Linked DNA regions of Arabidopsis thaliana. The protein of the gene in region 3 interacts with the protein of the main gene of each other region in a pairwise test. Each region holds a gene or a part of one and is shown on either strand. Other genes may lie near its edges.

Evidence for each region.
Region 1: the proteins of AT1G67865 (region 3) and AT3G54120 interact in a two-hybrid assay, tested with the Arabidopsis thaliana proteins (one large-scale study listed by BioGRID).
Region 2: the proteins of AT1G67865 (region 3) and PRA1.A1 interact in a two-hybrid assay, tested with the Arabidopsis thaliana proteins (one large-scale study listed by BioGRID).
Region 4: the proteins of AT1G67865 (region 3) and PRA7 interact in a two-hybrid assay, tested with the Arabidopsis thaliana proteins (one large-scale study listed by BioGRID).

The regions. Positions count from the first base shown.
Region 1 is NC_003074.8:20,038,107-20,045,670, reverse strand, and holds AT3G54120 (Reticulon family protein), read left to right. Parts: upstream 1-3,330; 5' UTR 3,331-3,537; coding exon 3,538-3,607; intron 3,608-3,709; coding exon 3,710-3,890; intron 3,891-3,954; coding exon 3,955-4,166; intron 4,167-4,253; coding exon 4,254-4,402; 3' UTR 4,403-4,545; downstream 4,546-7,564. Other genes in the region: AT3G54130 (Josephin family protein), read left to right, coding at 1,242-1,496, 2,189-2,776; PUMP1 (plant uncoupling mitochondrial protein 1), read right to left, coding at 4,675-4,719, 4,824-4,910, 4,994-5,071, 5,155-5,259, 5,351-5,449, 5,532-5,665, 5,759-5,837, 5,938-6,153 and 1 more.
Region 2 is NC_003076.8:396,999-405,615, forward strand, and holds PRA1.A1 (prenylated RAB acceptor 1.A1), read left to right. Parts: upstream 1-3,900; 5' UTR 3,901-4,164; coding exon 4,165-4,322; intron 4,323-4,528; coding exon 4,529-4,569; intron 4,570-4,662; coding exon 4,663-4,741; intron 4,742-4,838; coding exon 4,839-4,925; intron 4,926-5,006; coding exon 5,007-5,095; intron 5,096-5,183; coding exon 5,184-5,255; intron 5,256-5,369; coding exon 5,370-5,473; 3' UTR 5,474-5,479; intron 5,480-5,557; 3' UTR 5,558-5,992; downstream 5,993-8,617. Other genes in the region: RPL (POX (plant homeobox) family protein), read left to right, coding at 176-576, 931-991, 1,329-1,874; AT5G02050 (Mitochondrial glycoprotein family protein), read right to left, coding at 6,241-6,400, 6,495-6,853, 6,962-7,246; AT5G02060 (Uncharacterized protein family (UPF0497)), read left to right, coding at 7,910-8,040, 8,348-8,480, 8,582-8,617. UniProt on the Arabidopsis thaliana protein: May be involved in both secretory and endocytic intracellular trafficking in the endosomal/prevacuolar compartments.
Region 3 is NC_003070.9:25,443,453-25,451,087, forward strand, and holds AT1G67865 (uncharacterized protein), read right to left. Parts: upstream 4,171-7,635; 5' UTR 4,057-4,170; intron 3,501-4,056; exon of another isoform or gene 3,403-3,500; 5' UTR 3,236-3,402; coding exon 3,008-3,235; 3' UTR 2,725-3,007; downstream 1-2,724. Other genes in the region: AT1G67860 (uncharacterized protein), read right to left, coding at 1,488-1,724; AT1G67870 (glycine-rich protein), read right to left, coding at 6,141-6,653, 7,165-7,491.
Region 4 is NC_003070.9:20,585,196-20,592,235, reverse strand, and holds PRA7 (PRA1 (Prenylated rab acceptor) family protein), read right to left. Parts: upstream 3,840-7,040; 5' UTR 3,787-3,839; coding exon 3,217-3,786; 3' UTR 3,037-3,216; downstream 1-3,036. Other genes in the region: AT1G55200 (kinase with adenine nucleotide alpha hydrolases-like domain-containing protein), read left to right, coding at 187-361, 450-604, 682-776, 860-1,830, 1,925-2,085, 2,161-2,237, 2,315-2,462, 2,585-2,734 and 1 more; PLDEPSILON (phospholipase D alpha 4), read left to right, coding at 4,607-4,699, 4,788-6,169, 6,253-6,638, 6,752-7,040.

The DNA.
Region 1 (7,564 bases), on a different chromosome or scaffold from region 3:
CGTCTGATAATATGTCCTCCTATATTTTGCCATTGCTCTTAAGAAACTTATTATATACATTGGAAGTTATAAGCAATAAGCTGGGAAATAAAATCAAAAACTAAACAACAGCATGGGAAATCTTAACAAAAAGCAAAGCACATAGGATCCTATTGTCAATACATATGTAAACTTACTACTAGACATTAAACAAAGAGATCAAGTATTTTCTTCTGTTTCTTTGAAGATGTCTTTACTTTTGACTATATATCTGAACTGTTTGGAAAATGCTCAAGATCAGGATGCATAAGGAAGCCCCCTTGGCTTCTTGGAGGTTGTCTAACAAGATTGAGACAAGCAAGCGTCAAAAACAGATTTTGATTCTGGGGTTTATTTGTTCAGTAAAACCCATGGTTTATATATATATAGTCAGAAACAAGCTTTTTATTGAGCTCAACTATATGCACATAGAAAAAGAGAAAGTTTTTTTGTCATTTTACGAATGTGGTGGTGCGATGAAGCCAGGTTTGGTCACTAAATGAGCGGAAGCGGAAATAGCCAGCAGGACTATCTGGAAATGAAACCAAACCTAATCATTTAACAAAGTATAATCAACTCTAGCCTTGCAATTATATGGCTAAGAAGGAAAAATTTAGACCATAATAAGAGTTTAGAACAAACAGGTAGAAGTAGTAGATGTATTACCTTGATGAAAGAATCAGAGGGCGTAAAAGCTTATACAGAATCTCATTCTTTAAATCTGTCACTAACTTATCTAAATTCTTAAACTGTTCACGGACATTGCTGCTAGTGCTCTCAGTAGTATAATTCCTAACTCTGTATTAGTGCTCTCAGACGTGGTTATTACGAAATGCAGGCATAAACCAACCCGATCATACCCATCACATTATCAGAAGTCGCCATCAAAGAGATCACCAGAAATCTTGGGAAGCAAGGAACCTAAGTTGGTCTGTCAATTTTGAGATAATGGGCCTATCTCAAAACAGTATCGGGCTCGTCTGCAAAATAAGAAAAAGGCCTAGAAAGTCGGTTATTACACGTGGCATCCTTTTATTGTATATTTACTTTTCCGTCCCTTACATTTTCTTATTTAAATAATCTGTTAACTTGCTTCTTCTTCTTCTTTCTTCATCTTCATCTTCATCTTCGCTTCACAATCTCTTTGAGACTTTTGCATCGGAGCAATAATAATATATTCATCGCAAAATCAGTGAATTTTGATATTCAAATCTTAATCGGCGATGGAACGAACAAGCAACGGAGGAATGTTGTATCACGAGGTTCAAGAGTCAAATCTGTGCGCCGTACACTGCGTCAACACGGTGTTGCAAGGGCCTTTCTTCTCTGAATTCGATTTGGCTGCCGTCGCCGCCGATCTAGACGGGAAGGAGCGTCAGGTTATGCTTGAAGGTGCTGCCGTTGGAGGTTTTGCTCCCGGCGATTTCTTAGCTGAAGAGTCGCACAATGTTTCCCTCGGCGGCGATTTTAGTATCCAGGTACGAATTCGCGATGAAATTGATAAATCTTGAGTTGCATTCAACATTTATATATTGTAAAGCCTTTTTGTTATTGTGTTGTTGGAAGTTTAGGCAAAATTAGGGTTTCGATTTTATGGTGCTTTTGATTGCTGTGTTTATGCTGAAGTGATAAACTTTTGAATGGTTGGATTCGTTTTTAGATAGATTCAAGAAGAATTGAGATCAGTAATGGTGTGAATTTGCGATCTTTACTTTGGGTTAAAACTCATTTGTTGAAGGCTAGTTTCATTGTGCGAACATTGCTATGCTGATAAATGGAGGAACTTGAGATGATTTTTTTTATCTTGGGACTCAATTGTTTTGGATATGTTAGTTATTAGTGAGGTTCTGTATATTCAATTATCATCTTTTGTTTCTTGGATAGCTTTAAACCGAGTTGGTTGATAACTTGATATTTGATTAGGTTGCTACAAAAGTCAGGTTTGATTGCAAGATTTATGTATTGAGATTCAAGGGTATAGTATGGTGTTTTACATCACATTTTTAGATATCTAAAATTAAAGCTATTTTAACGGATTACGTTGAAGTTGGATGCGGATAAAACACTGCAAACAGAGGGTTTATGCGATTGGTGTAGCATTTTAATCTTGCAAAGTTGATCTAGTCTTTGCTTATTCGTTTAACTGAGAATGCTTCTGTTTGATTGACAGGTCTTGCAAAAAGCTTTGGAAGTGTGGGATCTACAAGTAATTCCACTCAATTGTCCAGATGCAGAGCCTGCGCAGATAGACCCTGAGCTTGAAAGCGCCTTTATCTGCCACTTGCATGACCATTGGTTTTGTATAAGGAAAGTGAATGGCGAATGGTATAACTTTGATAGTCTCCTTGCTGCCCCGCAACATTTATCGAAGTTCTACCTTTCTGCGTTCTTAGACTCTCTCAAAGGCGCAGGATGGAGTATCTTCATAGTGAAAGGAAACTTCCCTCAGGAATGTCCCATGTCGTCTTCTTCTGAAGCTTCCAATAGTTTCGGGCAGTGGCTTTCTCCTGAAGACGCAGAGAGAATAAGAAAGAACACGAGCTCAGGTTCTTCTGCCAGAAACAAGAGAAGTAATGACAATGTTAATCAACAAAGACGGAATCAGGCATTGTCACGTGAGGAAGTGCAGGCTTTTTCAGAGATGGAAGATGATGACTTGAAGGCAGCAATTGCAGCAAGTTTGCTTGATGCTTCTGCTGCTGAGGCCAATCTCGGAGCTGTGGGCACTTCTGAAAAGGAAACTGAGAAACAAAAGTAGCAGAGAAAATAGAGAACAAGTGTTATTGATGGAGGTGGTGGGATATTCACTTTTGTTTCTTTGTTTTGGTTTGTTATCAAGAGTTATCAACAATTTTACATACAGAACAGAGAAAGAAAAAAGCTTACATCGAAAGATAGAAAACAGAGGATAATAAATGGTTTGTGGAATTGTTTTTGTTTGATTTTTTTACCATATTAAATTCTTCTGACAATCTTAAATTGAGGATAAAGATTCGACCTTTTCGAATTCATAGGAAACTACATCTGAAAAGGGTACATAAATTACTTCAGTTGACTAAAAGTAGATGAATGACCAATTTAAATGTGTTCTATGGAAAATATAAAAGGATGGTGTAAAATTTGATTCATCTCTAAGTACAATCTGGCGAACTTTTACAGTTTGAAAAAAACAAGAAGGATAACACTTTTAGGCTGGAAATAAAAACATCGAGAGGACAACAAACACCTTCTTTTTCCCTAAACAGAGCATAGCCTTTGAATTATTAATTAATTATTTGTATATTCAAAGTTGATGGCTTTGATGATGATGGTGATGACCCAACTTTAGTCTCTTCTTCACTTTTTATTTTTACTTTCTTTGTGATACATCAGGTTCCTTCGATTCGAGCCTTTAGGATTTCCTTTCACATAATGATCTGTTTCTGACATTCAGAGAAAGATATACATATCTGGGTTACTTTTGGGATCTGATCATCTGAGGAAATCTGAATCCAAGTTTGCTCTGATCTTTCTTCTCAAATGAGTTCTTCTTCGGACAAGTTGTTCAACAGAGACAGGACAATACATGAGATTCTGGGAGGAGGCATTGGTTAGTGAATACATTTCTTTACCAAATCCAAAACTTATAAAAGCTAGGTGATCTCTCACCTCTATAGCCTTTTTTTTTTCTTGTTATGAAATGAATCTGCAGTTGCAGATGTGATGCTGTGGAGGAAGAAGAATGTGAGTGTTGGTATAGTTACAGTGACAATAGCTTCATGGATGGTGTTTGAGGCATTTGCTTACACTATCTTTACTCTTATTTCAAGTGTTCTTCTTCTCTTGCTCTCTATTCTCTTCCTCTGGTCCAAATCTGCTTCCATTCTCAACAGGTATATTAATATTCACTTGTAACTAATATTACTTCATTTCTGATTCAATTTCTTGGCTCTTCAGGCCATCACCGCCGTTACCGGAGTTTCAAATAAGTGAAGCGATGGCGGAAGAAGCTTCGATATGGTTACGTATTCATGTGAACAAGCTACTCCAAGTTTCGCATGACATTGCAATGGCAAGAGACTCAGAGTTGTATACCAAAGTAGCAGTGTCACTGTTTCTTCTCTCATTGATCGGAAGTCTCATGGATTTTCAGACACTTTGCCACACCAGTAAGTAGATATTCTAAAACTCCTATAGACTTGGAATGCTTTTGAGCTGGATATTCATTTTGTGGTTGTTCTTGGTTAATTTGGCAGGCGTTTTGGTGGTTATGACGGTTCCAGCTTTCTATGAGAGATATGAGGATTACATTGTTGGCTCTATTGAGTTTATCTGCAACAAAACTAGAGAGCTTTACCTTAGACTCGAGATATGGGCTAATCCGGAAAATAAGAAACTGAGCTGAGATGCTGTCACCTCTTTCTTCTTCAGGAGTTTCTTTTTCTGATTTTTCTCGGTTTTGTGGAAAGAAAGGAGAAAAATGTATGATTTTTGATAAATGTTGGATGGTACAGCCAATATATGAGCAATCCACAGAAATTTTATTTCACAGTTTTACTCGAAAACTGAATCTCTATTCCGAAAACAATATTCGACCAAGTTCTGGCCTCTCTCAATCACCGAAAATGAAGAAGAAAACAATGTTGCTCTTATTCCCTCTGCTTAAAACTATGTGTCTCAGTTTCTTTTGGACGCATCGAGTTCCCGGACATACTTCTTTGCCTGGATTAGAGTATTAAGAACCCGGATTAGAAAATGAGAAAGAAGACTTTGCGTGACCGATTCGAATGCGATTGCGATAAAATAAAAATTCTATCAGTTGTTACCTGTTCGAGGGTCAAAAACATGATTACGTTCCATGAGCCAAGGCGTCCAAAGTTGGGGATGAAACCCTTGTAAAATGCCATAGGACCCTGTAGAGGAAACCGTAAAGAGTTTGTAACATTTTCTGGGTTATATCTAGAACAATGGAGGTATCAGAAGCAGAGTTGCTTACGTCGCTCTTCAGAGTTTTGACGAAGCAGTCAATGGTGCCCTTGTAAGCACCAGAATCTCCCATCATTCTTGACTTAACCTGCCACACAACAAGATTTAAGTAGACAATCAGGAAACGTGGTGAATAAACTCAAGGTTCAATGTCATGAGTAAATACTTTACCACGTCGACAGGAGAGCCGATGCAGACAGCAAAGAATCCTGCTCCCAGTCCAGATAGAATATGTGTGACAACGTTGTCAGTGAAACCCGGAATCTTCAAGATCGTCTGAACACAAAAAAAAAAAGGAATGTTGGTTGCTTCAAATATCAGGATCTCTTATTTAGAAAGAGAGACAGAGAACATATTAGTTTCATACCTCTTTCACTTGATCGTAACTCGCTAATTCAGCAGCATTGATAATAGCGTTTCTTGCTACGTTAGGTCCAAGACCAGTCCAAAGAGCTCGGACTCCTTCCTGTCAGAGCCACATTAATAAGATATGAAGTAGAGTTGAAGCAACTTATGCACAATCTCAACTTCCAAGTCGGGATAACTACCTGTCTCACAATTGTTGAATAAGCATTCAGCGCTCCAGAATACCGTCTTGGCGCACCTGCAGCTAGTTTTCCTTCGGCCTGAAGCCTAACTTTCACAAGATCAGTGGGATTTGCTACCATGATACCCAGTGCACCTGAGAGTTAGACAACAAAAACAGCCCAACTAAGTGATAAAGAGGAAATATATATTACGTGTTTTTTCTAAGCTGGTCTATCGTTATGCTCACCTGTTGTCAAACCAGCAAGAATTTTCTTGCTCAATGGAACATCACCTACAAAGTCTTTTCCAACATACAAGTTTTTCACCTGAGTAGAATAAATTGGTTAAGGCTTTAAGTAGTAACTAGGAAAACACTGAGTTTAAGCACTTTTCTGGAGCATGAAAGAAGAAGAATTTGTAACCCACCGGCTCATACATTCCAATCCTAAGACCTCCAAATAGGCATTGACGATGCAATCCAGGTACAACACCTTTCCATAGTGAACGTAACCCTTCTTCCCTTGCTATGGTACCAACAGTTCCCAACAATCCTCGATATTTAGGCAGAGTAACATCACCAGCAAGAGCAGACTTTTGGAGCTGAAGCCTAACTTTAGCAGTGTCCAATGGAATTGTGCATACCTGGTCCAGAGAGTTTAATTGCATAAGAACAGAATTATCTGACGAAACAACACAGCCAAAGAGAAGATACATGTTGTTCTGAGGATAATTAAACATTATACAGTTGCGTTGCATAGCAATCACAATGATCAAATAGATTCCATTTTCAAGTCTCATAATCATTTCAATGTTTCGCAAAATCATATCTAAAGCATAAATCAACAACACTACACATGCCAAAATTCAATTTCTAGCCACAGATCTGACCGATTATTCCGAGATCAAATCATTTCTATCGGAATTACGTAATCTGGAGAAACACTATAGAAGCTAAAATCAAAATTCTCCAGCTATACGATGATAAAGACAAAAAAGACAAAGATCAACCTGATCAGAACTTCACAAATACCAACGAAATTCGAAAATACATTTCCGCGTATAGCCAACAAAGTCTAGATCGCGACACACATTTCTCGAACGAACAAATAGTTTTCCGGTACAATCGAAGCATACTCAGCGATAAGAAAAATGGAGTTAAAAGAGATGAAAAATTGAGGAATCCGGCGATTACCTCGCCGACGCAAGCAGCGAAGGCACTGCAGGCGAAAGTTTTGGGCAAGGAAAGGTCGGATTTACCAGCCGCCACCATCTTCGATCCAGAAAACGCGAATTAAAGAGAGGAGGTTAGGGTTTCGAAATCGAAGAACAGAGAAGAGATAATATCGGGAAGAGGGACGACGACGATTACGGCTAAAGCAACTTGGCCTCGAGTAGTGTTTCAGTTATAGAAAAGATCGTCCCTCTCTCTCTCTCTCTGCGCGCTACGAAATGAGAAAGGAGTGGGCGCTTTACTTATTTATACACACGTGTGTGACGACCTGTTTTGTTAAATAGTATCATCCATCGATTATGTTGCTTTCACTGTCTGAAGAAAATTCCCAGTCAAATAAATGACACAGCACCACGCTGGATCGAATTTACTTTTACTAACTACCTCTCTAAATAATTTCATTTCTTTTTAATCTCTAATCCGATTTTTTTAAGTTCTAATAATTCCATTAGTTTAACATCGTGAGAGGTCGAAGTTTTGTATATTTGGTACAAAGTTGATTAGCTTTGTAGCAGTGGCAATAAAGTCAGTGCGTCATCTTCTAGGTCTACTTCACATCTTCGTCACAATGCAGAGTGCCCTCGATGATAAAAAGTTTAAGTATCATAAACTTAATCATCATAGGTTAGTATCTCTTAGCTATTTCAAAAGAACACGTTAATCACTCTTTTGCCTATATTTGTTTAATCTAAACGATATGACAAATTATATTTATACACTAACATCCAAAAAACTATTCATATAAAAAGATGTGCTACAAACGTGACAAACTCTTGAAAATTATCCATTCACATCATACATAAAAAATGTAAAACCTAAACA
Region 2 (8,617 bases), on a different chromosome or scaffold from region 3:
GAAAGGAATATATGCATTATATGATCTTAAAGCTAGGGACTTAAAGATTTTAATTAGTTTATTCCGAGGTATATAACATACTTTTTGAGTGAGGAAATAATGTATAAATTTATAATCACCCATTTTATTATGTAAGTGGGGGAATCTAAAAACATTTCCATGTGACGTTTTGAAGGTTTACAAGAGGTATAAGCAATACTATGAGCAGCTACAAGCTGTGATGGGATCATTCGAATGCGTTGCAGGTCTCGGGCACGCTGCTCCGTACGCTAACTTAGCCTTGAAAGCATTGTCTAAGCATTTCAAGTGTTTGAAGAATGCTATAACGGACCAGCTTCAATTCAGCCACAACAACAAGATCCAACAACAACAACAATGTGGTCATCCGATGAACTCTGAGAATAAGACTGATTCTTTAAGATTTGGAGGAAGTGATAGTTCTAGAGGCTTATGTTCTGCTGGTCAAAGACATGGATTTCCTGATCATCATGCTCCTGTTTGGAGACCGCACCGTGGCCTACCCGAACGTGCTGTTACTGTTCTAAGGGCTTGGCTCTTCGATCATTTCTTGCATCCGTAAGTAACCCTTCTCGCCATATAAATGCTTTTGAAAGTTGTTGGATTCGAGTTTGAACTTGGTTCCAACAATTGATTAAACTAAATGCAAACGTTTAATTGATCATGAACCAAATTGTATATATATGCTTGTGAACAATAGCTTTATATGTGTGTGTCAGTGTGAATAAATATGTGTGTATCGAAGTGTATTTTTACTTGGAAGTATGTTTTAGATGGGACATGTCGACTGCTTGTTTGTTTCCCAAACTTGGAGATGTCGTGTTGCAAGCGTAATTATGTGTCTATATATATGTGTATGTTAGTATATACAATGATATATTAAATTGTTGTTGTCTGTGTCTTTTGTTGCAGTTATCCAACAGATACAGACAAACTCATGCTGGCTAAGCAGACAGGTCTCTCCAGAAATCAGGTTTCACTTCTGATATCTTCAGTCTTCTTCTTTTTTCTCTTTCCATCTTTTCTTGTTCACAATTTAACAAATTTCTTGCTAATTAAGCATGCACATAGTCACATAGATAAATATATGCTTTTATGAAATGAGTTTCTGTTGTCGGACAATAATTATATGTTTTAAATCTTTTCACATATATCATTAGTATAGTAACTATGTTATAATTTGGTTTATTAGGTTTGAATAAGTGTTACACTTTTGTTTTTGAAAATTTATCCGTTGGTGATAATGAATAATTTAGGGATTTTCTATCGCTTGAGGGTTATTAATTTATTATGGTAAAATGTTATTTTAGGTATCGAATTGGTTCATAAACGCAAGAGTTAGGGTTTGGAAGCCGATGGTGGAAGAGATTCACATGCTGGAGACTCGACAATCTCAGAGATCTTCTTCTTCCTCTTGGAGAGACGAACGTACTAGCACCACCGTCTTCCCTGACAACAGCAACAACAACCCATCTTCGTCCTCGGCACAGCAAAGACCTAACAACTCATCTCCGCCTAGACGGGCACGAAACGACGACGTTCATGGCACAAACAACAACAACAGCTATGTAAACAGTGGGAGCGGCGGCGGTAGTGCGGTTGGTTTCTCGTATGGAATTGGGTCGTCGAATGTGCCGGTGATGAATAGCAGCACAAACGGAGGAGTGTCTTTGACGTTAGGGCTTCATCATCAGATTGGGTTACCGGAGCCTTTTCCGATGACAACTGCTCAGAGGTTTGGGCTTGATGGTGGTAGTGGCGATGGTGGTGGTGGGTATGAAGGGCAAAATCGTCAGTTTGGGAGAGATTTTATTGGTGGTAGTAATCATCAGTTTCTACATGATTTTGTAGGTTGAGATTATTTGTGTGGAAAGGAAAAAATATGTTTGACGTTTGGGTATGTATAAGAAGATATGGGGGAATTGAAATGCATATGATGTGTATATTAGAATGTTTCTTCTTCTTTTTTTGTTGTTTGCTTACTTTCACAAATGTTATCTTTTTAAGAAATGAAATTGGATTCAATAACCAATGTTAAAAACATGGGTTAGACTTTAGAGTTGTCTATGTCTTGGTGAAATATAAAAGGCATCTATCATTGTTTTAATATTTTGGCATGATTCAAAACATGGTGCTTTTTTTTTTTTTATGTATGTCACAATTATCGTTGAAGAACGCGATTAAGATGTTTATCATTGATCGTTGATATTATATTTTGAACTATCTTGTTTTACTTGATAGTAAACATTGACTAAACAACATGTTTTCAAACCCTAAACCTTGAAATATTTCAGACTATTTGAGTTATCTTTTTGAGTCGGATGCAGTTTTGACTCCGATCCGCTCAACATTGTTGAATTCTTCTACTCATAAAAGAAGTTTGAGCCGATTTCAAACACACAAAACAAATGAGTTCGGTTTAATGTTCAGTGTGTACTAATACGTTGGCTTTTGAAGATCACATGAGAGCAAAAGTATTGAAAATAAAATTGTGCTTTTGTTGCTTCAAATAACTTTCCATTTGCTTTTGGAAAACAAGAAAGATATATATATATATATATATATATATATATACATAACCTTTCCCTCTCATGGGAAAAAAGTAAATCTTTTTCTTTGTAGAATTTATTCTCCGATCCTAACCATTTCTCAGCCTTTTTGTTTGTTTACACCATTTTTGTTTATATTCTTGGATTATGTCTATATAGAATAAGATGTAAACATAAACTGTATTAGCAAATATGTTTTGAATTATATGAAATTCAATAATTGAGAAGAGGTTCATGTAATGAGCCGAGAGAAGAATATAAAAGCAGTCAAATAATTTTTTCAAAAAACTATTTGTATATTAAAAAGGTACAAAGTAAAAAATAAATTTAAGAAGGTGCCATCATTGGCTCCTAAAGAACAAACTACAAAGAATCAATTTCTCATGATTTGATCTCTCACAATCCGTCTCCTTTATGTGGATGCGGAAAAACACTCTCCACACGTTTCATGTAAAAATTTTAGTTAAATTTCTAAAAACAATAGAGATACTATTCGATTTGTTCTTGAATTATTCATGAATACATATAGTGGCAACCTTAGACACTAGCCACGTCAACCGTACATGTTATATCATATATTTTTATATTGGTCTATCTATATGCTGAACTAGAGTCTAGAGATAAATATGAGAACATATAAGAAACCATGGACAACTAAAGATATTGTCTTTCTGTGTGAGTATTTGTTCCAGAAGCATTAAACCTTCGGAATAAGTATAATTCTTTTGCACCATTACTATTTTTATAAGCTTCACCAGCTCTATATATATTCTCACCATTAACATAAAACAACAACAACACGAAGAAGAAGATGAAGGTACTTGATGATGAACGGGTAATCTGCATCCTGAGGTTTAAAACCAATTAAGCATATACATATGCGAATGTATAGTTTTTAATCCTCGGGATACAGTTTACCTCTTCCTTACTCAAGAAAACACTTAGCTTTAACGGTTTTGGAGAAAGAAGAAGCATCGAATTAAATCCATTTGAAACAGGTTAGTTATCTTAGTGAAGAATATATCCATCAATCATAATTTGGTCTAGTCATTCGAAGTGGGATATGATTTGATACATATAGTCTAAAATATGATTTTATGCCAGTAATATTTTGTTTTCCCTGTCCCCTACCTATATCTAGAGCTTGAGATCCTCCTTTTAAAACTTTTAGATGATTAATCGTTTTACAAATCATAGTCCCAGACTTTCGTTCCAATCTAGATCGGTTTAGATGCGTTTTGTTTTGGAATTTATACAACGAAAACCAAAGTTTAGATTAAAAGATTCGAAAACCGGATTACATAAAATCTGGTCCAGGACCCCTTTGGTTAACGAAAACCAGACTAAAGGGCAGAAACGTCATTTGACAAAAAGAAGGATGATTCTCTCCTTCCTCTTTCCCCAATGCAAAGAAAAAGCATTATAGACTTTTCAAGTTTTCCGATATAAGCACGAAATCGCTGTTTCTCTCTTCGACGAAGCTTTGATAATTTGATCTCAATCGATCGATTCTATTGAGAATTTGTGTACCTGTTTTCTTATAAGGTTAACTAAGGATTGTGGAATCAGAAGTGTTGTGTTTTTGTGATCGGAGATTATGGATTGGGGAAACGTAACGGTTGATGATCTCTTCGATGCTCTCCGAGAAGTTGACTGGTCGTCTCCGCCGCGTCCTCCGTCTGAGTTCTTCTCAAGGTTCACCGTTCCTAAATCTGTCCCTAAATGGGATAGTCGCCTCAAGTGCAATCTCTACTAGTACGATCTCTCTCTCTCTTTCTTGTTCGCCAATTTCATATCTATTCGGATCTGATGTTGTGATCAATCTCTCGTTGAGAATTACCAATCAAATTCGTCCCAATTGAACATAGAATTCTTAGACTTTGGTTAGAACACAGAGTCTTGATAGCTTAGTTTCTGTATTGAGCTTAATTTTGACCTGTGATGATGATCTGTTTATGCAGCTACCGAACAAACTATTTCATCATGATCGTCGTTATACTTGGTATGTGGTGTGAGGAAGTGGCTAAGCATTATCATCTGTGTTGTTTATCAATGATGTCTTGTTCACTTAGAATTGTCAAATTTTACTTCTCAGGATTGGGAGTCCTTACAAGGCCTTTAGCGATCTTCGCTGCGCTTTTGACAGCATTAAGTTTGGCATTTCTAAATGACAGGTTTTTCTTCATCTTCCTTTTGTTTTTAAACTCTCAGAGCTTTGACTAGTGGATATGCTTGAATCAGTAGATCCATATTGAGTATTCTTGTCTACAGCTTTGCAGGTTCTTTTAGTGAGAAGGCGACACGAACCGTCAGAAGATTCTCTCCACAGTTAGCTGCTAAAATGAGACCTCCTTTGACGTATGTTTATCTCTCTTTGTTGCCTTTCATACTCTTTGTTACTCCTTGCTTATTATCATCTATGTTATCTGTGTTTTTTAGACCTGTCACTCGTGGGCGTCCATCATCAAAGAGAGCAATCCATGTATGTGGTCAACCCCGTTGGGTTTTTGTCTTGACATGCTCACTTGGTATGTGGCTTTGTATATTTTCATTTGATGTAATATATCTCCAAAAACCGTAAAAAACATGATTTGGAGTTTTTTTTTTGTTTCGCAGTGAGTTTTGCTCTTTGGTATATTTCCTCTGGTTTGCTCAGAGTCTCGGTTGCGCTACTCATTGCACATCTTGGTATGCAGTCTACACAAATCCTCATAAGTCATAACTTAGTTTCTCTCACTCTACTTCAAAAATCCACATATAGGCTTTTATAAACTCAACCTCTTTTTGTAATTTGTGTTACAGCAACAATTCTTCATGCAAGCTTGAGAACACCGAACTTGAAGGCACGTTTTAACACATTTAGGGAGGAATTCCGAGCAGTATGGCGTAACTACAGCGAGATTTAGAGTAATGTAAGTTTGAAATATCTTCTTCTTAGTCTAACATCTATTTGCTTAACTGGATGGTTAGATTTTCTGAAATGTTGACAGTCTTTGGCAGCTTGTACCACCATGATCGTGTTCTGCTGAGGACATAACGCTGTAAAGACCAAACTTACTGCCTTTCTCCAAGATAAACCCGGTTTCGTTAACACTGTACTATGGATGTTCAATCTGGATTTGTTGCTCAATGACTGGGATCATCTGTTTTTTCTTTGATTTGAGATTTGAGCTCTGAGCTCTTTTTGCTAGCAAAATCCTCTCTTTTTTTTGCTAAAGACTTGTAAAGCTAGCTTTGTTGTTCTTCGTTCTAACACAAAACCCTTTGTGTAAAGTCCTAGAATCGTTTAATAGCTTGCATTTTTTTCTTTCTTTTTTTGGGTTGAGAGGTCTAGTAACAATAATAATGAGATAACAAGAAATGGAAAATAAACAAATGATTTGACTACTTAGCCGAGAGTTTTCGGATAAGAATAGGCAATGGGAAAATGCAAAAGAATTATACTTTATTGAGGTCGTAACATTTTTTCCAACTGACACTCGAAAGAGTTGCATCTTATATCTAGCAAAGTACCTAAAAACCCATTAAAAACATGTAGCAATATTGTTAACAAGCATAACACATGACCTCACTTTCAACGATTGCTCATGGTGATATCAAGTTCATCTAAGATAAACTCAAAAGTTTAAAGCAAAAAGAAATCTCGCTCTTATTCTCTGAACAAAGTTCAGTTTCACTTCTCGACAAAAGACTTGAGATCCTTGAGCCATTGAAGATACTCTCTGCTATCTTTGTTGGCCACATAATCTGCCAGAAAGGTAGTGAAGCTTGGTTTAATACCTCTGATCTCCAAGTACCTGTGGAAAGCCTTCTGCAAATTCTCATCCAAGTCACTGCACATAACACAATAACCAAATTCAATCACATAACAATACCCCAATCTCATATATTCCAAACAAGAACTCACTATCATTGAAGTAAACTTACTCAAAGTCAGGTCCTTCGTAAGCAAGGTCATTATCAGATCCTTGCGGTTGTTTGATCGATAAACTATCAATCACAATCTCATCCGGGTATGCGCTGACTCCAAACTCAAGACACACACCATCACCTTTCTGCACACTAACAACCATCGGAACCCGGACTTTACCCGAGCTCTCTTGATCTTCATCGTCTTCTTCATTGTTTGGTTCTGCTTCCTCTTCTTCATCTTCATCATCATAAGAAGCAACAGAGTCAACTTCCACTTGGATGGTTTCATCCTCAAATTTCCTTGTCAGCAACACAGTTCTCTCCCCTGAATTATCAATGATTTCAAATGGAAACCCTTCTGGCTTATCTTCCAACTGTTTTTCCAAAACATTTCTAATTCAGATACAATTGTTCTAAACCCCAGAAATATTAAAATCTCATGAATTCGAGAAGAATCATGTATATTGAAAGAGAGAACTTACGAAGTCAGTGTCATGAGGAGCCTCCTCTGCGACGGCGCATTCGATTTCAGATTCGATAACGCTAACAAGATTCTCGTCGGCGGTTGTTTTAGAGATCGCACTTTCCGTCGAAAAGCTCGAGACTGAGAATGAACTAACCGATCCACGCCTGATCTGGTGGCTACCACGAATCAGCCTCTCGACGGAGACAGCGCCACTGCGGAAGCTAACCGGAGATCTACCCGCACGGAAAGCAAGATTGGCTACTGTTGACGAAGCTCGACGAAACACGGTGCTCAACGCCATTTCTGAGGATTCTAGGGTTTTCCTTAAAAGTGAAAAGAGAAACAGAAATGAGGGTTTTACTGAGAGAAGAAGAGAGGTTTAAGGTTTGTTTATAGTGCAAAGCATTATGTAGGAGATAAAAAGCCATTTAATAAGGCCCAATTACTTAATGGGCCATAAGAAGCCCATATATTAAAAGGAATTGGTCATTCGTACAGTGAGAGAGGAATGTCTGTGTGTGGACACGTCCTTAAAGGCAAAAGGAGAGAAGAACAAAATAGCTCTTGCCGGCGTCAGAATTGCGTCACTGTTTCTTCCAACTTCAATTTTAATATCGTTGGCTTGAAGTTAAGGGAAACATAATTGTTCCTCCAAAAAAGCAGAATTAAATTTGTGGTAGATACTTGTTTTTAAATTCATATAGCTCAAAAAAGTTGTCATTTTTAATGTTGGTTTTCTGGTGGCGATGCTCTTAATTACCCAATTCCGTACGATTTATGATCATAAGTCAACTTTTGAGATTTGGGTTTGTGAAATTTTCCTGAATAAAATTATGGGTTTAGGGTTTTTATGATCAATTTCCTGTAAAGTAGCGATTTTTTTCTCCCGGGGATTTTGGTGAGGAACAGGATAGAAAGTCTTGGTTTTGTTCTGTTTATTGTGTTTGTTTTTGGGTTCTGATCAATGAAGAAGATGATTGGGAGTCCTGGAACAATGAGTGGGTTGATACTGAGACTAGGGCAATGTGCAACTGCTGCTGCTTCCATTGGTGTTATGGTTTCTTCTTACGACTTTTCCAATTACACTGCTTTCTGGTAATTGTCCATCTTCAATCTCATTGGTCTTGGTGTTTTGGTTTAGTTTAGTTTAGTTGAAGACATTGGACACTGATGTATCAAAAATCTTGACTTTGTAGTTTTTTCTTGGATAAACTTTTGAAGATAGAGCTAACTGAACTAGTAATTGTGTATGATTAACATTTGCCTGAAACTTTGACAAGATTTTTTTCTTTGTTTGGTAAAAAATATGTGGAAATGGAATTATTTCTATATTTCGATTACTGTATGGGGTTATCTCAAAAGATACAAAATGATGATAGATTGCTTTTGCCAATGATTTCAGCTTCTTAGTCGCATCTATGGGTCTTCAATTGATATGGAGCTTTGGACTTGCGTGTCTTGATGTATATGCGATAAGGAGAAAAAGTGATTTACGAAGCCCTATCTTATTGAGCCTTTTCACTGTTGGTGATTGGGTATTAAACTTATCTTCCATTTCATTATATGCTTATTCACTGTTGGTGTCTTGTTGTTTTAAAGGTTATTTGTTTGATAGGTTTCTTTTGGAATTCTGCAGGTCACTGCACTTCTCGCTCTTGCAGCCGCGTGTTCC
Region 3 (7,635 bases):
TTGATATCTTCTTATTACTCAGTACGCATTTAAATTAATCATCAGAGGGATTATATCTACGCATGTTTAGTATTGGAGTCTTAAGGATTACGTTGAATCCGATACCTTTTATTCCTTTAGATTATTCCAGGTTTGGCCAATGTTCATTGGACCATTAAATATATTGACGCATATGTGACATGTCTATTGTTGTATTTAGAGGATAGTTGGCTAAAGGTATATATGCCCATGAACAAACAGAAAACGGTAAACGAGAGTCACTGATGGTTATTCGATCGAACTAGATACCTTTAACAATGGATGATATGGCGTGTTTTGACTACAACTTTAGTAAAGAAAGTAGGAAAATATGTGTGTATAAGTTCAATGTAAGGCTAATTATCTCCGTTGTGGAATGGTCTCTTCAATCGTTATGATAGAAATTGCATCTTGCTTGGAGAGATAACTTGTGGTTTTGCCTTGATGAGGATTCGTCATGTTGACCTAGGACCACTAAAAAATATCGAAGATATTCTCCTTCATATGATAAGAAGGATTCAAGAGATTATGATATATAGTAAAACTTTTATAAACTAATACTGGACAAATAAAAAAAAAATGTTATAAATTATTTATATTTTCTAGTTTCGAGTAGGAGTAATATAAAAACTAATACAATTCGATAAGATAGAAAAATAATTATTTTTTGAAAATTTTAATGTAAATCTAAGTTTCTAATAATATAATAATAATTTTATAAACTGCACATATATAACAAAAATAAATACATGATTTTAGTGTTATTTGTATTTTTTTAAAAAAATTACTGATATTACATACTTTTTGGTGTTATGTTTTCGAATTTTAACATATATTAATTTTATTGAGCAATGTGAGAGATAATATATTTAGTGTATATAAGAGGAAGACAACTAAATAACCAGTTGTTGTGAAAACCTATATAGTTGTGATCCACATGAAAATTCCAATACAAGTCTACGCACAAACCCATCTTTTCTAGTTAACGTAATTAGTTTTCTTTGTTCCTTAACTCACTTGTACTTATGTTATTTTAACAAGTAGATTCATGTAATGAACATTAAAGCATGTAACTTGAGGGTTTTTTTCCCTTGTCTTCATCGTGAAACAACATATCTTAATCCAATCATTTTCGTAAATAGTCTTTTCGTTTTCTCTTTCTATATATATAGTTCAATGAGATATAATATACTTCCTAAATATTCATTTCAAATTTTGTCGATAAATATATATTAAAGTCAATTTATATACCGATCTAATATATATTTCTTATGTAATATGATAAATGATTTATTAACTTAAACAAGAACGCTGACAAAAAAAAAAAAAAACTTAAACAAGAACATTTATTTTCATTAAAAGTCCGTCACACAAATACATGATACATCTTACACATTTATTATATGGGGAGTACATAATCGTTACTTTCTTATTTGAACCGTCAGAATATTTGGGTAGTCTAGAGTCCTCTACTCCCTGTCTTTCTGGCGGCGACGGCGGCCGTTCTCCTTAGCCTTCACTGCTGCTGCACCGCCGTTACGGCTAAGGTTGGTCGGGAGCTTCTTTTTGTGCTCCTCGCAGTCGGTACGAGTGCAGCTCTGGTAACTATCGGGGCATATTCCGATCCCTCTGGCGAACCCATCCACCGTTCCAATAATCGCTCCGGCAATCCCTCCGACAATCCCTCCAATAAGCGTATCAAGCATTTTTATATATTAATTCTGTTGTTTTTCTTTGATATGAATAAGAGCTTACAATCTTTCAGATGTTTGTATATATTTATACAATTCTCGTAGTGTTCACTTAAGTTTGTTTGTTATGGCAATTATTCGTCATATGATATCCATGATATGATAAGAATCTTATTCTTTTTTTTTTACCACCACCATACGTAAAATTGAATAGACATGTTTGTTCTTATTCCGTTCGTCTTAAAAAATTCAACGATCACAAAAATTCGTGAAGTAGATGGAAAGAAAGTGGAAAACAAGATAACTATGGACATACACGACCCGTCTTACTTGTCACTCAAATGGTCCTTCAATCGCTATGATGGAAATTGCATCTAATGCTTGCAAAGTTTGAAGACTCTCCAAGTGGAAGTGGACTTAAAGTTTCCCCTTGTTGAAGATTCAGGTCGTTGTTCTAGGCCAGAAAATAAAGCCTTATAAAAGTGTAATAATCTAACTATTCAACTTAGACTCCATAACGCTGTAAATTGCAAGAAAACATTTCTATTAGTATTAAGTTCAAGAATTAGTCTAGACTTTGGATTTAGGAAGACTCTGATTATTGGAAAAAAAAAAAACATTGCTTGTGTAAGGTTCGTTTGATTTTTGAGATAAAAGTGTAGACAACTCTATCAATGACATTCATGGAATTCTTCAAGAAATTCGACAGCTTCAAGGTTGTTTCCGTTCTATCTCCTTTAGTTATATTTCTCGTCTTTCCAATTCAAAAGGCAGACGCTGTCGCCAAATATGCTATCTGTGTTTGTGTTTCCCTCAAGAACATTGCATAACTGAAAAGGCTAATCGAATCAACAAAAAATCCTATGATCCGTCTAATTTAGTAAATGAATTACTTGTTTGAATCAAATCTATGAGCTTAAAGTTTTGGTCGATAAATGCAAAATAAATTATCTAATTATTTAGATGAACCAGAAACATTAAAACGACATATCCTACTGCACTACGTAACTTATAAATTCATTAGGGTTTTCGTTACACCATAACGTTACTTTTCAAACTTAATTGTGTGCAAATAAATTCAATCTTTTCACGTGTGGAAATAACTGTTAATATACATCACTTTTATTAAACACACTCCTTTTATTAATCATAAAGTTCATAAAATTAAACAAGAAGACTTTTCATTAAAAGTCTCCTATATTTTTGGTAAGATACTGAAACATGTCCATCTTATACATACATCGTATACATTTATTATTTTGGATACATAATCATTACTGGGTGTGGTCAGGAGTCCTTTACTCCCTGTCTTTCTGGCGGCGGCCGCCGGAGTTCTCGGATGCCTTCACTGCACCGCCATTACCATTGCCGTAGTTTCCCGGACTCGTCATATTGTTGTTCTCGAAGCGACCGGTGCTCTGATAATTATTGGGCCATATCCCGACCCCTTTGGCAAACCCATCGACCGTTCCAAGAATCCCTCCGGTAATCCCTCCGGCAACCCCAATAATAAGCTTATCAAGCATTTTTCTTTATATTTATCTACTTGTGTTAGTTTTCTTTGATATGGATAAGTGTTTTAATCTTTCAGATGTTTTCTATATATAGAAAAAATTTCTTGTATATAGTTCCCTTTTTTATGATCTGAATCTTATTCTCTTAGTACCATCACTACCGAAAGTTGAATAGATATGTTTGTTCTAATTCCGTTCGTCGTTTTTAATAATGATCACATGGGAAAGATCCAAACTAAGGAGGTTTCTGTCTACGGACACGTTTTCTTTAAAAAATCAGACCCTATAGACCCTCAAAAATAGATGTTGTATGTGTATCAACTAATGTTTAGTCCAAAAAGGCATGTTTTGACAGCAATACTAGTAACGAACATTAGAAAAGATGTGTGGATAAGTTTAGTGTAAGGCCCATCTCCTTCGTGGAATGGTCTCTTCAATCGTTATGATGGAAATTGCATCTAATGCTTGCAAAGTTTGAAGAGTCTCTCTTAACCAAGTGATAGCGGATTCTCATTGTTGGTCTAGTCCATGAAAAGAATTTCCTTAAACGTGGAATTATCTAACTATCCCGCTTAGCCACTCGTCGACGCTTTCAGTGGCAATAAAACTCATATTAATACTTGGCTCAGGAATTAGTTTGGACTTCGGTCGACAAAGACCTAGTCCCGATTATTAAAAAAAAAACGTTAATGACAGTGTAAAGTTTATTTTAAAAAACAGATTTCTATGAGGTAAAAGAAGAAAATGTTATTCCCTTTGGAGATTATTCGAAATATCATCGTACGATCATATGAATCTTATTCTCTTTTCTACCACGAAAGTTGAATAGTCATGTTTGTTCTAATTCCGTTCGTCTTTTAAATTAAAGATCAGTCCTATTCATATGGGAACATTTCGGAATTGGCTGAGTATTAATGGAAGCATAATAATGAAACTGGAAATTAAACCTAGTCTAGTTCTATTTATTACGGATTTTATTTGATTTTATATTAAATTTGTTTGAGTTAAAATTTTCATTCATTTTTGGATTTCGACGAAGCGTTGTGTAACTTTTTTTTTTTTTTTTTTGTTCTTTGCTAATAGCCACGTAACGTGCATGACATGAGTAAGCCGGCCACGTTAGCGAAAAGTGGGAAGTAACACAAGAAGTCTAAAGACCATGGGATATTCAATGGTGAGGGTTAAAAAATACCGAGATTAAGTAGGAAGAAGATGAGGAAAGAAGACTTGTGTTAGAATATTGGAGACAAACCAATGATCCTTAGACGAAGCAAAGAAGAGAACCTCCAAGAGAAGTAACGGTGATTGTGGTGACCGTAGGGATTACTTTCAGCTTTGGTAACCATAAGTAAAATGATGATAAATTCAATTTGGATAGAAAAATACACCACTTAAGTAGCATCCCACATCAATCCACGAAACTGAAAAGATCAAAACATTTGCTATTAAAGGAACTATTCCAAAAATTTAGTGAAACGTGCCTAACATAACACATATACAACCGATAATCCGATATGTACTTTGAAAATCGGAGGAAGCCCACCAAATATACCAGAAAGTTGGCTAGATCTCATCAAGTAAATGCAAGATGGTTGTCACCATGATGATGGTGTTAGAAATCATAAAATATGTAAATATTTTTAACATGTTCATCCATCAGTTGAGCCACGGTCAATCTGGGTCGATCCTGACAGCCCTATAACTCGGAAGATAGCTTGGTTCGCTGTCCATGTCAGGTGTCAGGTTAATAATCATTGGATCAGGCTGAATTGGATATCTTTCTATTATTTCTTCTTTCTTATTCCAGGTTTGGGCCAAATGTTCTTGGAAGATTAAAACTAGAGACGCACGGTTCAATATATATTCAACAAGTAGAAGGAAAAATAACTTTGTAAAATATAAAGAGGTGGGCCAATGGGTTTAGAGGAGAGTTGCCAACGTATATATTCCCATATAAAGAAAGAGAGAACGGTAAACGATAACTACTATTGGTTATTCAGTCGAACTAGATGCCTTTAATAATTGATCAAATTGGCGTGTTTTGACCGCAACATTATCAAAGAACATACGAAAATATGCGTGGATATGGTCAATGTTAGGTTCATCTCCGTTGTGCAATGGCCTCCCTCTTCAATCGTTACGATGGAAATTGCTTCTAATGCGCAAATTTTAGAGTCTCTCTTAACCAAGTGGCGGTTTTGTGTTGTTGAGGATTCATTTTATGGGTCTAAAAAAATAATAAAAATCGCCTCAAACGTGAACTTATCTAACTTTCTTGCTTAGCCATCCGTCATCTCGAAACTCATATTTTTATTGGACTCAGGAATAGACTTGGTCTAAAAAGACCAGATTATAAAATGTAATTAAAAATCATTATTGACAATGTAGAAGTTCATTTTTTTAATCAACAGTTTTTTTTTTTTGATTAAACGATGTAAAGTTTTTTTTCTTCACAGTGTAAAACATTAGTTATTACAAACGGAATCCAAGAATGTGAAGTTTATTTTAAAACAGATGTTTTTTTTCTTTTTTTTTTGGAGGTGAAAGAAGTTATAAATTACTTATAAGTTATAAATTCACTACTGCACCACTTACTTATAGGTTATAAATTCACTAGGGTTTTTATTACACCACAATGTTACTTTTAACTTAATTTTGTGCAATATAATCACCCCTTCCACGTGGGGAAATCAACTGATAATATACATCACTTTTATTAAACATAAGCAGCAACAACAACACTCTTTAGAAATCATAAGGTCATCAAACGAAAGCACTTTTTTGGGATAAAAGCCACCTATTTAGTTTTGGTACGATACAGAAACATGTCCATCACACACATACATCTTATAAATGTATTATTTGGGTACATAATCATTACTTTCTTATTTGAACCGGCATAGTATTTAGGTGGAGTCTAGAGTCCCTTACCTCCCCACCCGAGTTTCTGGCCGGTGATTTTGCTGACCCGCCAATTCTCAGTAGCGTTTACCACTACTCCACCCGGGTGCTGCATCCCATGCATGCCCTGATGCTGTATTCTGTGCCCGCCCTGGTGCTGCATCCCATGCATGCCCTGATGCTGCATTTCGTGCCCGCCCTGGTGCTGCATTCCGTGCCTGCCCTGGTGCTGCATCCCATGCATGTCCTGGTGCTGCATTCCGTGCCCGCCCTGGTGCTCCATTCCGTGCCCCCCCTGGTGCTGCATCCCATGCATGCCCTGGTGCTGCATTCCGTGCCCGCCCTGGTGCTGCATTCCGTGCCCCCCCTGGTGCTGCATCCCGTGCATGCCCTGGTGCTGCATCCCGTGCCCGCCCTGGTGCTGCATCCCGTGTATGTCGTGGTGCTGGATCCCATGTCCGCCCTGGTGCTTCATCCCATGTATCTCGTGTCCCTGCTGCAATCCATTACCTATCTTTCCCATTTTTCCCTGAAAAATGATCATTAGGCAAATTAAAAAACAAAATATATGTTTAAGCAGATAGGATGACAGAAGGTTCTATATAAGATTAAAAAATTGGTGCTTCTTTTATAATAGTTTGTTAATATAAATAAAAACCACAAACCGTTGCCTAAAATTTATCTTCAAAACTCTTGTGGCGTGAAGGTCAAAGCTATGGACTTTTGATTTTATATAATACTATGTTTTTATACCGGATGAATTCAGGACTTGCCCTCTCTCTACGAAAGAGTGTTTGAACTTAGGGCACAAAATACCAACTCCATTTTATCACTAGACCACCACCTCAATCTGTTTATATAACTTTGTTTTTGATGTTTATATATACAAATCAGAATTAATTGTTTTATTTGGCAAAATTTTAGCACCAATTTTCAGGACTTCAAAATTTTAAAAGATACCTTACATATAAATAAATATATTAAGTAACATAACATAACATGATTAGTATAAGGTAACGACACCAAAAGAGATAACTTACGTTGTGGTGAGGCTGAGTCACTGGAGGTGGAGGCCTGAAGTTCATATGAAGTGGTTGCGGCAACGCAGTAGTGTGTTGGGTCCGGCTGCTCTCAAAGAACTCCTCCACGTCTGAGTCTGAGTCTTCTTCATCCCAGACATGCATGGGTGGACGGCCATGGTTGCCCGTACGGTGGTTGTAGCGGGCTTGACGGTCAACGAAGCCTCCTGATGACTCCACACGACTCGAAAACTCCTTGTGCTCCTCGAACCCGAAGCCTGCGCTTGCCTGGAAATGCCCATGTCCGCGCCGGAGACCTCCGATCCCTCTGGTAAGCTTATCAAGCATTTTTCTGTAAATTTATACTTGTGTTAGTTTCTTTGATAGGGATAAGTAATTAAAATCTTTCAGGTGTTTATATATATACAATTTTGTACTGTAGTAGTAGAGTGTTCTTTTAAATTTGTGTTAGATATGATCCCATATGGCAAT
Region 4 (7,040 bases), 4.9 Mb from region 3:
TGAGTTTTGTATGCATCTGCAAACAAAGTATTGTGTGTTTGGTCTGATTTTGTCTTGATTTCCAACTTGCCATAATAATGCAATCATATCTACAGAATCTATCTCTACGAGAAGCTACTTTATCTCCAAGGATCATTTAGAAATCAAGAGGAATCTAGAGAATTGTTCTTGCAAAAGTCCTCTTAAATGAGCAGAGAGAAACAGGGGAAGAGATCAGGTTCTAATGGGACTGAGAAGGTTCTTGTTGCTGTCAAAGCATCTAGGGAGATTTCAAAGACAGCATTTGTTTGGGCCTTGACTCATATTGTTCATCCTGGAGATTGCATTACTCTGATTGTTGTTGTTACTTCTTACAATGCTGGTACTTTCTTCTTCTTTGGTATCCAATCATGGAGATTAGTTTGCTCTGTTTTATTCATTGTCTTTCTTTTGTTTGGTCTTTTTGTTAGGCCGAAAGCTATGGACTTTCCCTAGGTTTGCTGGAGATTGTGCTACTGGTCATTGGAAACTGCATTCTGATCCAATGTCTGAGATAAAGAGTGATCTCACTGATACTTGTTCCCAAATGATTCTCCAGCTTCATGATGTATATGATCCAAACAAGGTTTGAAAATTAGTCCACCATCAAAATAATGATATTCTGAAATATCTAGAGTTATTCTCATGCTTGTTTCTTTGAAGGTTAATGTCAGGATCAAGATTGTTTCTGGATCACCATGTGGAGCTGTTGCGGCTGAGGCCAAGAAATCTCAAGCAAATTGGGTAGTTCTTGATAAGTAAGTTAATAATCTGATTTTATTCTTCAGTTCTTTAGTTTTTACTCTCTTTGTGTGGTTGAATGATTATATTTCTTTTACAGGCACCTTAAGCATGAAGAGAAACGGTGCATAGATGAGTTACAATGTAACATTGTGGCGATGAAGCGTTCTGAGGCAAAAGTCCTGCGGTTGAACTTGGTCGGGTCTTCAACAAAGGAACCAGAATTAGCATCTGAAAAAAACAAAAACAGGTTGTTAGATTCTGTTAAAGCGGTTGTTACAACTACTCCAATGAGCAGTCCTGAGGTTGAGACATCATTCACAGGAACAGAAGCTTGGACTTCATCAGTATCTAGCTCTGACCTCGGTACATCATCGCCAGTTTTCACAGCTGAAGTGAGAAAGGATGAAACTTTGGTCGTCAAAGAGAATGAATCTGATTCTGATTCAGAGAGCGAAAATCTATCACTACCTTCCTTAAGTAAGAGATTCCAACCATGGATATCAGAATATCTTAGCACTCATTGCGTCTCGATGCAGGAATCAACGAGAGGCGATGATAAGGCTGTTCAAGTATCTACTAAAAAGGCTTTGCTTGAGAAAATTTCTAAGCTTGATGAAGGAGAAGAAGCAGCTATGTCAAGTAAAAGGAAAGACTTGGAGGAGTATAGTGGAACCTTAAGAGCGTTATCACGAAATGCTCCTCCTGTTTCACCTCCTCTCTGTTCTATATGCCAGCACAAAGCGCCTGTATTTGGAAAACCACCGAGGTTTTTCTCCTACAAAGAGTTAGAGCTTGCAACAAACGGGTTTTCGCGAGCTAATTTTTTGGCAGAAGGTGGATTTGGATCTGTTCATAGAGGTGTATTACCTGAAGGCCAGATTGTAGCAGTAAAGCAACACAAAGTGGCCAGTACACAAGGAGATGTAGAGTTTTGCTCTGAAGTAGAAGTTTTGAGCTGTGCTCAGCATCGAAACGTAGTTATGTTAATCGGTTTCTGCATCGAAGATACCAGAAGACTCTTGGTCTATGAATACATATGCAATGGATCATTAGACTCTCATCTATACGGTAAATAGAGTTTCCAAGTTAGTTAAAGATGTTGTTAACCTAAAAAACACTTAACTAGAGTTATCTAACTAACTTTCATGAAATGTCCATTTAGGTCGCCATAAGGACACTTTGGGATGGCCTGCAAGACAAAAAATAGCGGTTGGAGCGGCTCGAGGTCTTCGATATCTTCATGAAGAGTGTAGAGTAGGTTGCATTGTTCACCGAGACATGAGGCCTAACAATATACTAATTACTCATGATTATGAACCACTGGTATTTATATTTTCTTGAACCACAATTTACACTTTTTTATACATTCGTTTGATTCTGTTTTTGTTTCTCTTTCAGGTTGGAGATTTTGGTTTAGCAAGATGGCAGCCTGATGGAGAGCTAGGTGTAGACACGCGTGTGATAGGAACTTTCGGGTAACAAAATTTATAACTAAATCATCATTCTCACTCTAGAGTAATTTCTCAACTACTTTCTGTGTTTCTTGTTTTAGCTATTTAGCTCCAGAGTATGCTCAAAGTGGACAAATCACAGAGAAAGCCGATGTTTACTCGTTCGGGGTTGTATTGATCGAACTAATCACGGGTCGTAAAGCAATGGATATCTACAGACCAAAGGGACAACAATGTTTAACTGAATGGGTAAATCCATAAGTTTCTTCTTTTTAAGGTTTCTTAGCTCATTTTCAGTCTCTTCTTGTAAATGAAATCTAAAAGTTTCTTTCTTGAAGCTCATTTTGTTATTTTATTTTCTTTGTGAGCAGGCAAGATCTTTATTAGAAGAGTATGCGGTTGAGGAATTAGTTGATCCGAGGCTCGAAAAGCGATATTCAGAAACACAAGTCATTTGCATGATTCATACAGCTTCATTGTGTATACGTAGAGATCCACATTTGCGTCCTCGCATGTCTCAGGTAAAGAAAAGATTCACCATTCTTGAAACATGTTCATTTCTTTAAGTCAATAAAACTCTCTCAAGTGTGTCTGCTCTTTTGCTTGTTGTTGAAGGTGTTGCGTTTATTGGAAGGAGATATGTTAATGAATGAAATCTCAGGGAGGTTTAATGGAAGACTATCCACTGAGAAAGGTCTCAGAGATCATAACTAAAAGCTCAACTAGCCAATCTGATCACTTTCTTTTGGTATAGTGCGTAGGATCAATAGAAGAATTTTGTAAAATCAAAGTCCTCTTAATTGACAATTATGGTTTTTTAGTAGCTTTATCCAAAGTGATTAGTGTTTGTAGTGCTAATCATGTAATAACGTAATTAACCAACAAAACATACTCAAAAATTGTACTGTTGTCAACAAATTGAACAAAGTAGAAGAACATGTCAAGTTTTCTCAAATCGCACCAAACTCAGTAACATACAAAAAAAAAAAACAAATTTTTGGATTTACGACGAAGGGTATGACATCAGCCCTGAAGCTTCAGTAACCGCCGCAGCTTCTTCATCAAGAAACAAATTATCACTTCTTCTAACCGCCGCATGAATCAGAACCAACACGGCGGCGGTTAACAAAGATCCCAGAATATTCGAAGTAGCGTGAGTCAACAAAAGCATCACAACCGTCAAAACCGATAAACCAATAAGAACCGTCCGATCATCAATCTGATAACCAAAAACAACAAGAGGCTCGTCACGGAGGAAATAGAGAAAGATCCAGAAGACGACCAAGATTGATAACACGATCAACGAGGTTGGGTGATATAGAAGGCTTAGGAAGAGGATGAAGAGAACTCCGATGGCGTAATTAGCTCTGAAATAGCCGAGATTCGTTTTGATCCTCGAGATCGCGTCGAAGAAACCGTGAGGGAGAGTCATTGATTCGAAATCGAACATTGATTTCCATGGGCGGCGCGTAGCTAGACCGGATTTTATACGGTGTTTGGCGCGTGAGATGTATTCGAGATCTATCGCCGGTGATGGATGAGACGACGTCGGAATCGCCCCGTAGTTCGTCATTTTTGGAGAAGAGAGACACGAAGCTTTTTTTTTTGTTGGTTGTAATAATTTATAAATTGCTCAGTGTCCCTATGGATTAGGTGATGGTGCTAATGTAAATGTCACATATGGATAAAAGTTGTTACATGCCCAATAAATACATAAATGCTTTATATTGTAATAATTTTTTATTTGTTTTGCAACTGTACATTTATGGTAACAATATTGGTATTATATGTGTTTAACAGTCAGCATCATAGAGACATATTCTTAGGAAAATGTACAGCATATTATATTCTCTGTCATTTTCAAAACATAAATCTGATTAATTACTTGTAAACAGCATAATTTTATTCATTAGAAGGATTAATTTTTTTTTCCGGCAGAATAAAAATTTCATATTATTAGTTCACCAAAGAAACTGCGACCGAGTGGTTTCTTTGGCAGCGCTTTGTTGCTGCACGTGGCTTATCCCCACAAATATTTACAAACTCCACCAGATATTTTCATGCTTTCACATTTTAGTCCCAACCTTTTGTTTGAATACCATCTAACACTTTGCTTTTTAAAATTCCTATTTTTAAAAACCGAAGTCGAATGCTTGATTTGTATTCAAAGACACTTCACCTTCGATTTTGTCATCTATATGGTTGAATGTTTTCTTTAAGATTGTCCATGGAGAATCCTACAAGTTTCACCAAAAACATTAACAAATACATATACATATATGGATGGACATAACCTTGTGCATTCTGTAATTGACCAGCTTCAAACACATACTTGACAATTCACAGAAAATTATCTCTCATTCTCTTAAAGATACATTTTGAATAAAGAGAAGATGGAGCTTGAAGAACAGAAGAAGTACTTTCATGGAACACTAGAGATTACAATCTTCGATGCAACACCTTTTTCTCCTCCATTTCCTTTCAATGTAAGTCTATATCATATACTGAATTAGTGACTCTGATGATGTTATCATTGTGTTCATTTTCATGAGCTTTTGTTATCTTTGTTCACAGTGTATATGTACAAAGCCAAAAGCAGCTTACGTGACCATCAAGATAAACAAGAAGAAAGTTGCTAAAACAAGCTCAGAATACGACCGTATTTGGAATCAGACTTTTCAGATCCTCTGCGCTCACCCGGTTACTGACACGACTATCACCATCACGCTCAAGACTCGATGTTCTGTTCTCGGAAGATTCCGAATCTCTGCAGAACAGATCCTGACATCTAATTCAGCAGTTATCAACGGGTTCTTCCCTCTGATTGCAGACAATGGGTCAACGAAACGTAACTTGAAGCTTAAGTGTTTGATGTGGTTCAGACCGGCTTATCTTGAACCGGGATGGTGCAGAGCGCTTGAAGAAGCGTCTTTTCAAGGTATTAGGAACGCAAGCTTCCCTCAAAGATCGAACTGCAGAGTCGTACTGTATCAAGATGCACACCACAAGGCCACATTTGATCCAAGGGTTGATGATGTTCCTTTTAATGCAAGGAATCTATGGGAAGATGTTTACAAAGCGATCGAAAGTGCTAGGCACTTGGTTTACATTGCAGGATGGGCACTAAACCCTAATCTTGTTCTTGTACGCGACAACGAAACTGAGATTCCACATGCGGTTGGAGTAACGGTTGGCGAGCTTCTGAAACGGAAATCAGAGGAAGGTGTAGCGGTGAGAGTAATGTTGTGGAACGACGAGACGTCTTTACCAATGATCAAGAACAAAGGTGTAATGAGAACAAACGTCGAAAGAGCTCTTGCTTACTTCAGAAACACAAACGTTGTTTGTAGATTGTGTCCAAGATTGCACAAAAAGCTCCCTACAGCGTTTGCACACCACCAAAAGACAATAACACTGGATACACGGGTGACAAATTCAAGCACGAAGGAGCGAGAGATCATGAGCTTCCTTGGCGGGTTTGACCTTTGCGATGGTCGATATGACACTGAGGAGCATTCACTGTTTCGTACACTCGGAACAGAAGCTGATTTTTACCAGACAAGTGTAGCTGGAGCTAAGCTAAGTAGAGGCGGACCAAGAGAGCCATGGCATGATTGCCATGTGTCCGTGGTTGGAGGAGCGGCTTGGGATGTCCTGAAGAACTTCGAACAGCGATGGACGAAACAGTGTAACCCTTCCGTGTTGGTTAACACTTCAGGGATCAGAAACTTAGTAAACCTAACCGGACCTACTGAGGAAAATAACAGGAAATGGAATGTTCAAGTTCTGAGATCGATAGATCACATATCGGCAACAGAGATGCCAAGAGGTTTGCCGGTAGAGAAGAGTGTACACGATGGCTATGTCGCAGCAATTCGAAAGGCTGAGAGGTTTATCTACATCGAGAATCAGTATTTCATGGGAAGCTGTGATCATTGGGAGAGCAAGAACGATAAGTACGAAATTTCTCTTAACGAAGCTATTAAATATCCATTGGGAGATTCTGATCTATTTTAGTATTTCTTTTTTTGATGGATAGAATCTGCAGCGGATGCACAAACTTGATACCTGTCGAAATAGCGTTAAAGATTGCTGCTAAGATACGTGCAAGGGAGAGATTTGCTGTGTATATAGTCATACCGATGTGGCCGGAAGGGCCACCGGAGAGTGAAACGGTTGAAGAGATACTTCATTGGACGAGAGAGACGATGTCAATGATGTATCAGATCATTGGAGAGGCGATATGGGAAGTTGGAGACAAGTCGCATCCGAGGGATTATCTAAACTTCTTCTGTCTTGCAAACAGAGAAGAGAAGAGAGATGGGGAGTTTGAAGCAGTTTCGTCGCCCCACCAGAAAACGCATTACTGGAATGCGCAGAGGAATCGGAGATTCATGGTCTATGTCCACTCCAAGCTCATGATAGGTAACAAACAATCCGCAATTCACAATCTGAAATGAAAATATATTGAAGATTCGTTAAACTTTCACAAACTTTCACTTAAGATTTAAATTACAGAGATTGTCATATGTTTGTAGTGGACGACACATACATTTTGATAGGATCAGCCAATATAAACCAGAGATCAATGGATGGTTGTCGGGACACCGAGATTGCAATAGGTTGCTACCAAACCAATACCAACAACACCAACGAAATCCAAGCTTACCGGTTATCGCTCTGGTATGAGCATACCGGTGGCAAGATCACGGCAGATGACTTATCATCGTCAGAGCCAGAGAGTCTTGAATGTGTCCGAGGGTTACGGACAATAGGAGAGCAAATGTGGGAGATTTACAGTGGAGACAAGGTCGTAGACATGCTCGG